2 linked regions of the Schizosaccharomyces pombe genome follow. The protein of the gene in region 2 interacts with the protein of the main gene of each other region in a pairwise test. Each region holds a gene or a part of one and is shown on either strand. Other genes may lie near its edges.

What was found.
Region 1: the proteins of aim29 (region 2) and urh2 interact in a two-hybrid assay, tested with the Schizosaccharomyces pombe proteins (one large-scale study listed by BioGRID).

What each region holds. Positions count from the first base shown.
Region 1 is NC_003424.3:2,342,754-2,346,756, reverse strand, and holds urh2 (uridine ribohydrolase), read right to left. Parts: upstream 2,237-4,003; 5' UTR 1,943-2,236; coding exon 950-1,942; 3' UTR 713-949; downstream 1-712. Other genes in the region: negative cofactor 2 complex subunit Bur6, read left to right, coding at 1-325.
Region 2 is NC_003424.3:4,264,783-4,268,296, forward strand, and holds aim29 (protein aim29), read right to left. Parts: upstream 1,566-3,514; 5' UTR 1,318-1,565; coding exon 940-1,317; 3' UTR 723-939; downstream 1-722. Other genes in the region: cor1 (cornichon family protein), read left to right, coding at 2,331-2,451, 2,539-2,822.

The sequences.
Region 1 (4,003 bases), 1.9 Mb from region 2:
TGATTTTCTTCAAGACATTGTTGAAAAAGTACCGGATGCTCCGCCCATTAAAGCCGAAAGAAAGACAAAACGCCCCCGTGCTCGTCGAGCAGCTAATGAAGGTGAGCATAATGAAAGTGTTCCCGCTAAAAAAGTTAAAAAGAATACTGTTAAAGAAGAGGAAATTGAAAAAGATGACGAATCAGCTACCACAGAAACTCCTGTCAAAGAAGAACCTACTGGTGAGGAAACTGAAGCAGATCACGAGGAGAAAGCCTCTGTTGATCATGGTAATTTTTCTGACAAGACAACTAGTGAAGCCTCTTCCGCGTCTGGTGATGAGTAGCTACTTTCTCCACCCTATATGACCATAAATATAATGTCTTTGTATACTTTATTCTTGTTTTGCTATTACATTTATTCTTATCTTCCCTTTTTTCTTGAATTTGTTTTCAGAAAATATTCTCAAGCTACTTGTACATAGGACTATAAAATTGGCACATTAATTCTAGTATTTTTAAGCCTTTTCTTCGACTTAAGAATATAATACGTTCTGGTTGTTCATATTGAGCTTTTTTAAAGTGCCTTATTAATGTACTATGAAAGACCAACTTGGCGTCTACTGATTTTATTTGCCAAAATGATGCTATTGACAATTCTACGAACCTATCACTTACTCGTACACCCTTTTGTTTATAATTAAGCATTTATTTATACATACTTTGTTGTTAGTATTTAAATTCAAATAATGATATTTTTATAGTCTAAGATTTTATAAAACTATATGCAATGCAAAAGTATAAACGTACTTCTTTGAGTAAAAAAGAAAGTATTTGGTTTTGTATTTCCAATGGATGATATAAGAGGGCATGATGAATGCTTGAAGTGCTTTCAAAATTGAAAATGAAGGGAGAACTTGATCGTTGTAAAAAATAAACATAAAACACTAGTCGATAATGTCATAAATATACTACAAATAATTGAGCCTGTCTATAACTCCAATAAACGTCTCCCAAAATAATGAAACATCAGCTTCCAAAACAACATGAACATTAGCCGGATACTGATTTTGTTGCGACCATACATCACAGACAGTGCGACCAAGAGTGAGAGAATCTAAGCTTACAGTCACATACATAGAACGCGAGGTCCACAGAGATGGCCACAGCGCCAAAGCAACAGCACAAACGTCATGAACGGGAACACCGTTTCGAATTCCGTAGACATTTTCATAAGTTTGTTGAAAGACAGTCATCAATTCTACCAGTGTGGAACTAAATGGGTTGCTATGTTGACGCAGTAACTGAATAATGTTTGCATCTAAAAGTACTTTATGAGTGACATCTAGCGGCACCATAAATAGTTTGCCGATAAGTGATTTAGTCTCTAAAACGAGCCTAGCTGCCTCAGGATCAGCATACACGTTGAATTCTGCTTGAGAAGTAATATTTCCAATGCCTGTGCTACCACCCATAAATATAAACCTTTCTATGTTGTCGGTAACGCTTGGGTACGTTGCCAATAACAATGCAATGTTTGTCAAAGGACCGGTAGCTACGAGAGTGACAGGCTCTGGATAATTAGAAATAGTGGTATACATAGCGAACACCGCATCAGGAGTAGCCTTCTTTTTGGGATAATCAGGAAGCAATGAAATCCCTGCAAGCCCATTCGTACCATGTATGTGAGTAGCGAACGCGGACTCGCGCATCAAGGGCTTCGCTGCGCCAGCATGAACATCAACATCTTGATTTAAAAGCTCCATTACCGCTAAAGCATTTTTGGTAGTAAATTCTAGCGTTGTATTACCATGTACGGTACTAACACCCAAAATTTTACAATGTCCAGCGCAAGCAGCCAATGTTAAGGCGACAACATCGTCATGTCCAGGATCGCAATCGATCCATATGTTATAGTTTTCTAATGCGGAGCCTTTTTGGAATGAATCAATTGTGTTAGTCATGGTGCCACAATAATCACTAAGCTTAAAAAAAAATCGATTAGTACTAGCTATGAGGTTTTTTATGACTTTATTACTTTGGACATCCGAAGATAATATTCTTGCTGGACGAGGACACAATAAAATATATGGCTAATAACCTTGCAAAGAGATATGTGGTGTTGTGGTTTAAAAATGGTAATAAATATTGCACAGATGGATAGCCTAGTAGCCCCTAATGCGGAAATTGTCTATTCAACCGACCTTGTAAGTAGACAATTAATGTATCAAAAATGCCGACGCTTGAAATCTATCTTCATCAATTTTCGTTTAATTTTCCGCTGTTCTGGATACATTTGAGTAACGCACTGCAAGAGAGTGGCTCACAAAACGTAGAAAAACGTTATTTTGACTTATGATTTGAAATTTATTTGCTACGGTTAGTGTTTGCAATGACTTTCCGTTTAATTCCTGAAACCATTTATCAACAGCTAGCATGATTAAAAACTAACCGAATTTTTTGTTTGCTAATGAATAATAATGTTGGTTACATCCATATGTAAAATGTTATCGGAATTCTTAACAGCTGGAATTTTTACTTTTGAAAATGCTATTGCTAAAACGAAGTAAAGATTTGTAACTTCAGCTAATTTGTTAACTTATTAAAGCTTGCACAGAAGGTAGAAGACAAAACATTATATCAATGAAAAAACAACCCGTTTATTATTGATAAGTAGAAATAAATACGTGCTCGCTTTAATTAGTAGATCAAGATTTATCAGGTATTTTTGAATTTGTAAATAGATTTTACTGAGACATAATAGAATCTACCGTAACTAATGTTGCTTCCATATACCAAGCTTAACTGTGAGCAGAAATAAATTAGTTTTTGTCTTTCGCTCTACTCTTTTCAAATCAGTGTAGTTGCTTCTTCCGGCCAACTGCTGAGAAAAGCTTATGTTTTTCTTCCTTTATTGATTTCTTCCAAAAATACATAGTTGCTTATTTTTCTGTAGAGCATTCAGTCAAAGGAAGTTCGTTGAATTCAAGGCTTTTGCTTTATTATTTTTTCTTAAAAAATTATGGTTTTGAATTTTAATAATTCAGAAGATTTGGTTCAAGAATTATGTAGACTCGTGATCAAAGAGTTTGCATATTCGGAGAAAAAAAATCAACTGTTAGATCAGTTACATTCAAAGCTCCCAAATCTAATTATGATTTAACTTCTTGGAGGATCTGGGAACAGGCATTTCGTTTAAATGTGTCCAATAGCAAAAAATGTTTTGATACTATATCTGGACATAGAATTACTTTACCTACAAACGCGCGTGGTTTGTTTACTGGCTATGACTATGAAAGTAAAAGACATCGCATTGTTATACGTGGGTACGATAAATTTTTTAATATTGATGAAGTCCCTATTACTACTTGGGATGCACTTTCTCAACACACTAAAGGACCTTATGAATTGACAGTCAAAGAAAATGGTTGTATCATATTTATTGCAGCTTTGCCAGACGGACAGATCATTGTTTCTAGCAAGCATTCTTTAGGTATTGTGGAAGGACAATCAGTCTCTCATGCAAACGTTGGGGAACGTTGGCTTGAAAAACATTTGCAAAGTGTTGGTCGCACTAAACAAGAGCTGGCCCATGAACTACTTCGTAGAGACATGACTGCTGTGGCTGAACTCTGTGATGATGAGTTTGAAGAGCACATTCTTCCATACACTGGAAATTCTCGTGGACTATATCTGCATGGATTAAATCGGAATTGCCCGCAGTTTATTACTGCATCATCCTGTGAAGTTGCTGAATTTGCGGAACAATGGGGATTTATGAAAGTTTCTTCATTTTTTATGGATAGCATTCATGAGCTCAAAGCCTTTTTAGAAAATGCCTCTAAAGATGGCAAATGGAATAACAGGGCAATCGAAGGGTTTGTTATTCGTTGTCATTCTGATCATTCATCTCTTGAGCAACAATCTTCTAATGATTTCTTTTTCAAATATAAATTTCCAGAACCGTATGGCATGTTTCGTCAATGGCGTGAAGTCACCAAAATGTTAATATCTGGTAAAAAGCC
Region 2 (3,514 bases):
ATAAAAAACTGAATGCATTGTAATTGTTTATTGATTATAACATTAGAAGTATAATTGGACTACTTAATCACAAAATCCCTAAGGTCTCATAAACTAACTATCCTTTCAAATGCAAAGTCATTGAATTGAAGGATGAACACTAGCTACTTATGGAAATTAAGCTGAATAGACAAGCTTGTAGTTTTAGGAGTTTACTTTGATAATAAAAAAAATATATTCTAACACCAAAAACAATATTTTCTTAACATAAAGCAATGCTTTTGTGAAATCAACCATTTGAGCATTGGAAACTTCCTATCAAAAATTACATAGAAATTTTTGATTTTGGCTATATAAATTACATTTCATGATAAATGTACAGCTAAAGTCACTATGTCCGAGTGGTTAAGGAGTTAGACTTGAATCCTGTATTCTAGTCATCTAATGGGCTTTGCCCGCGCAGGTTCAAATCCTGCTGGTGACGGTATTTGTGCGCGGTAGGAGAGTGGAACTCCGACGGGCTCATAACCCGTAGGTCCCAGGATCGAAACCTGGCCGCGCAACTCTTTTTTTGCTTGTTTTTAAAATAACTTTTTATTAAGTATTGGTGTAGCGTTTTGATGAATGAGAAATGTTTTGTTCTTATATAAATATGTAGATAGGGACGTCCTTGGTGCTATTGGTACCAAGTCATAAAGTCGATGTTTACAACATTTGGTTTAAAATGCGTATTGTTTTGTATCATTTATTATTCTACATACTTTTGCTCACTACAATGCATTCTGCTATTGTCAATACATGAATTGCAACAGCGACCTAGGTAATTTTAAATAGTTGCACTAATAAAGACATCAGGAATTTTTTAGCGTAGTTTGAAAAATATTCAATTTAAATAACAAAGGTAAACTCATCTCCTATTCCTAACACCAACAATTGAACTCTTAATAAAGTTATGCATGTCTAAAGCCATTTTTGTACAGGATTTGCTTGATAGGCCTTGTAGGCAGCAAGTTCAAAGTAGGACAACTCAGTTTCATTTTCAATTCCACAAAGAGACAATGTTTTGGCTCCATCATTAAGAATCCAATCATCGTGGTCTAAATTAATAGCCAAGTTTTGGGTTTTGTGCTGCTGGGCTTTCACATAAATCTTCAACGTGTCAAAATGGGTAGTACGGTAGATTTTCAATGAGGGATCCGTTTGTATGCGTTCATCGATGATTTTTTTGAACTGGTCTACAGTCGTAGTGGCCAGATCTATGTCGTGGAAAACGACGTTTTTCAGTGTCCGATATTCAAAGTTGCGAATTACTCGAACAGTTAACGTTGCGCCCGTCATCCTTTTGAAAGATTTAAATAAAACCAAAGAGTAAAAAAGTACCAAATGATCAATAGTTAAATGACTGTAATTCGATTCTTATATAAGGGTTCGAAATCCTTGCGAAATTCCCAAAAACTTTCAAAATTATTTGTATTCCAAAAAAATGTCACAATAGCTTTTTGTTTCTCCAGAGCCTCACCTTTATGCTTATATTTTTCGTATATACAATTGCAATTTGATTAACACTCGAGTCAATGGTAACTTGTGTAGTATAGAGAAAGAACGAAGCATTATAAATGATTGAGATGTGCACTAAGTGGTACACTAGCAATATAACAAATTGAATTGTGTATCCTAACAGCTAAAAACCTTCATACTATTCTTCTAGAAAATTTTAATTTAAGAATGAATGTTCATTGTAGAAGCCAATTGAATGTTGGCTGAATTATTGCAAAACAAAAATAGTTTAATATTTGACGACTGTTTACGAAAAAAACGCATAAGAATTGTTTCTACAACTAAGAGGAACAAGTTGATGATGATATTTAAGGATCGAATTATCGTAAAATTATTTAATTCTATACAGTGTGAATAATTGTAAATGTTTTCAACCCAGACTATATATTTTATTAACTAAAGCGGTTTTAAAGCTAAAGAATATAACACAATGATTACTTCTACTTGAAGTGTTTACGTTTCATAGTCCATGCATGCGTCTCTTTGATTTATATTAGCATAGAACTCTTGAATTCACTTTTTTTTACGATCATTCAATCGAAGCCCATTCTTTAAAATAAAAAATAAAAAATATACTAACGTACTAATTGATTAGTAAACATAAAAACCAAACTTCCAGATTTTTCGAGTTCCCTTACCATTTGGTAAAGATTCATGTCAACAGTGCGATTCGAACTTGTGGTCGTTACGATTCGTTCGCTCATTTTACCATCAATGAGTTGTGACAAGTTATCTTATTACACCCATCGAAAAGAAAAGTTTGAAAACTCAAAATAAGTGTCTAAACATCCAAAATGGTGTCTGCTTGGATTTATTTTACCAGCCTTATGCTTACATGTGCAAATATCATGCTTCAGATGTACTTTACAGTGATGTACTCTGATTTGAAAGACGATTTCATAAATCCCATTGATTGTATGTTAAAATAATCACATTCTAACGATATATATTAATGATAAATGTCTCTGATTCGTATATATACTAATCTTTTTCCCTATTTAGTGTCTCGAAAACTGAACTGGTATGTACTACCAGAAATGGGTTTTCAAGCTTTCAGTGCCCTTCTTCTATTATTGTCAGGTGCTTGGATCACCTTCCTTCTCAATGTACCCATGTTGGCTTGGAACGCCAAAATGATTATGTCCAACACTCATATGCACGACTCTACAACCATCTTCAAAGACGTATCCTCTAGACAAAAACGATCCTTTTTCAAGCTGGCATGTTTTGCTGTATTTTTCTTCGTATACCTCTTCCTCTTCGTCAGTAGACTTGTGGACGAGTAATTGTATCGTTAAGTTTGTGTGATTTATTTTCCCTCCTCTTTTAGTGATCAGTTTCAAAGTCAATAGTTTTAAAGCAATTTTTGCGTTGCTACTCAAAAGTTTTGTTTTCTTTTCCTAAATGTTTTTCGTCTTGGTCAAAACTATTTAAAGCCATCCAGATGCAAAAAGTTTCGCTTTTAGCTAGTGCATTTGTCTTGGCAATGTATATTGTGTAGCTACTTCAATACTTGTTTTTATCTCTTGTTAATTGTTCGTCAATCCCATTTCTTTCTACTCGTGGGATCTCGTTTAACGGGGTTTATGTTTTCACTCCTAGAGAGTCTTTCGCCTTCAATTTCCTATGCAACTCCTACTTGCAGCATCTGACCTGTTGCTATGAATAAAATCTTTAATTGCTGCCGAGCTAGGGAATAGTGAGTTTAATGTGCAAATAAAACCACACGAGGTCATATTTGTACTTATAGTGTTTGCCTATGATATGTTGTAATGTAAGTTGGATGTGATACCGTCGTTTTCTGCAATAGTGTAGTTTTATTTTGTTCTCCACGTGTTCACCTTTGAGAGGCTGTAGCTCTGACTTTTGTCATTGCTTTTCTTTAGCATCATTTAGAGGTTTGTAAAATAAAGGATTTCATTCATAGCACTTTTTTATTTTTTTTAATTGACTACGTGTTGCTTAGCTTATTATATTT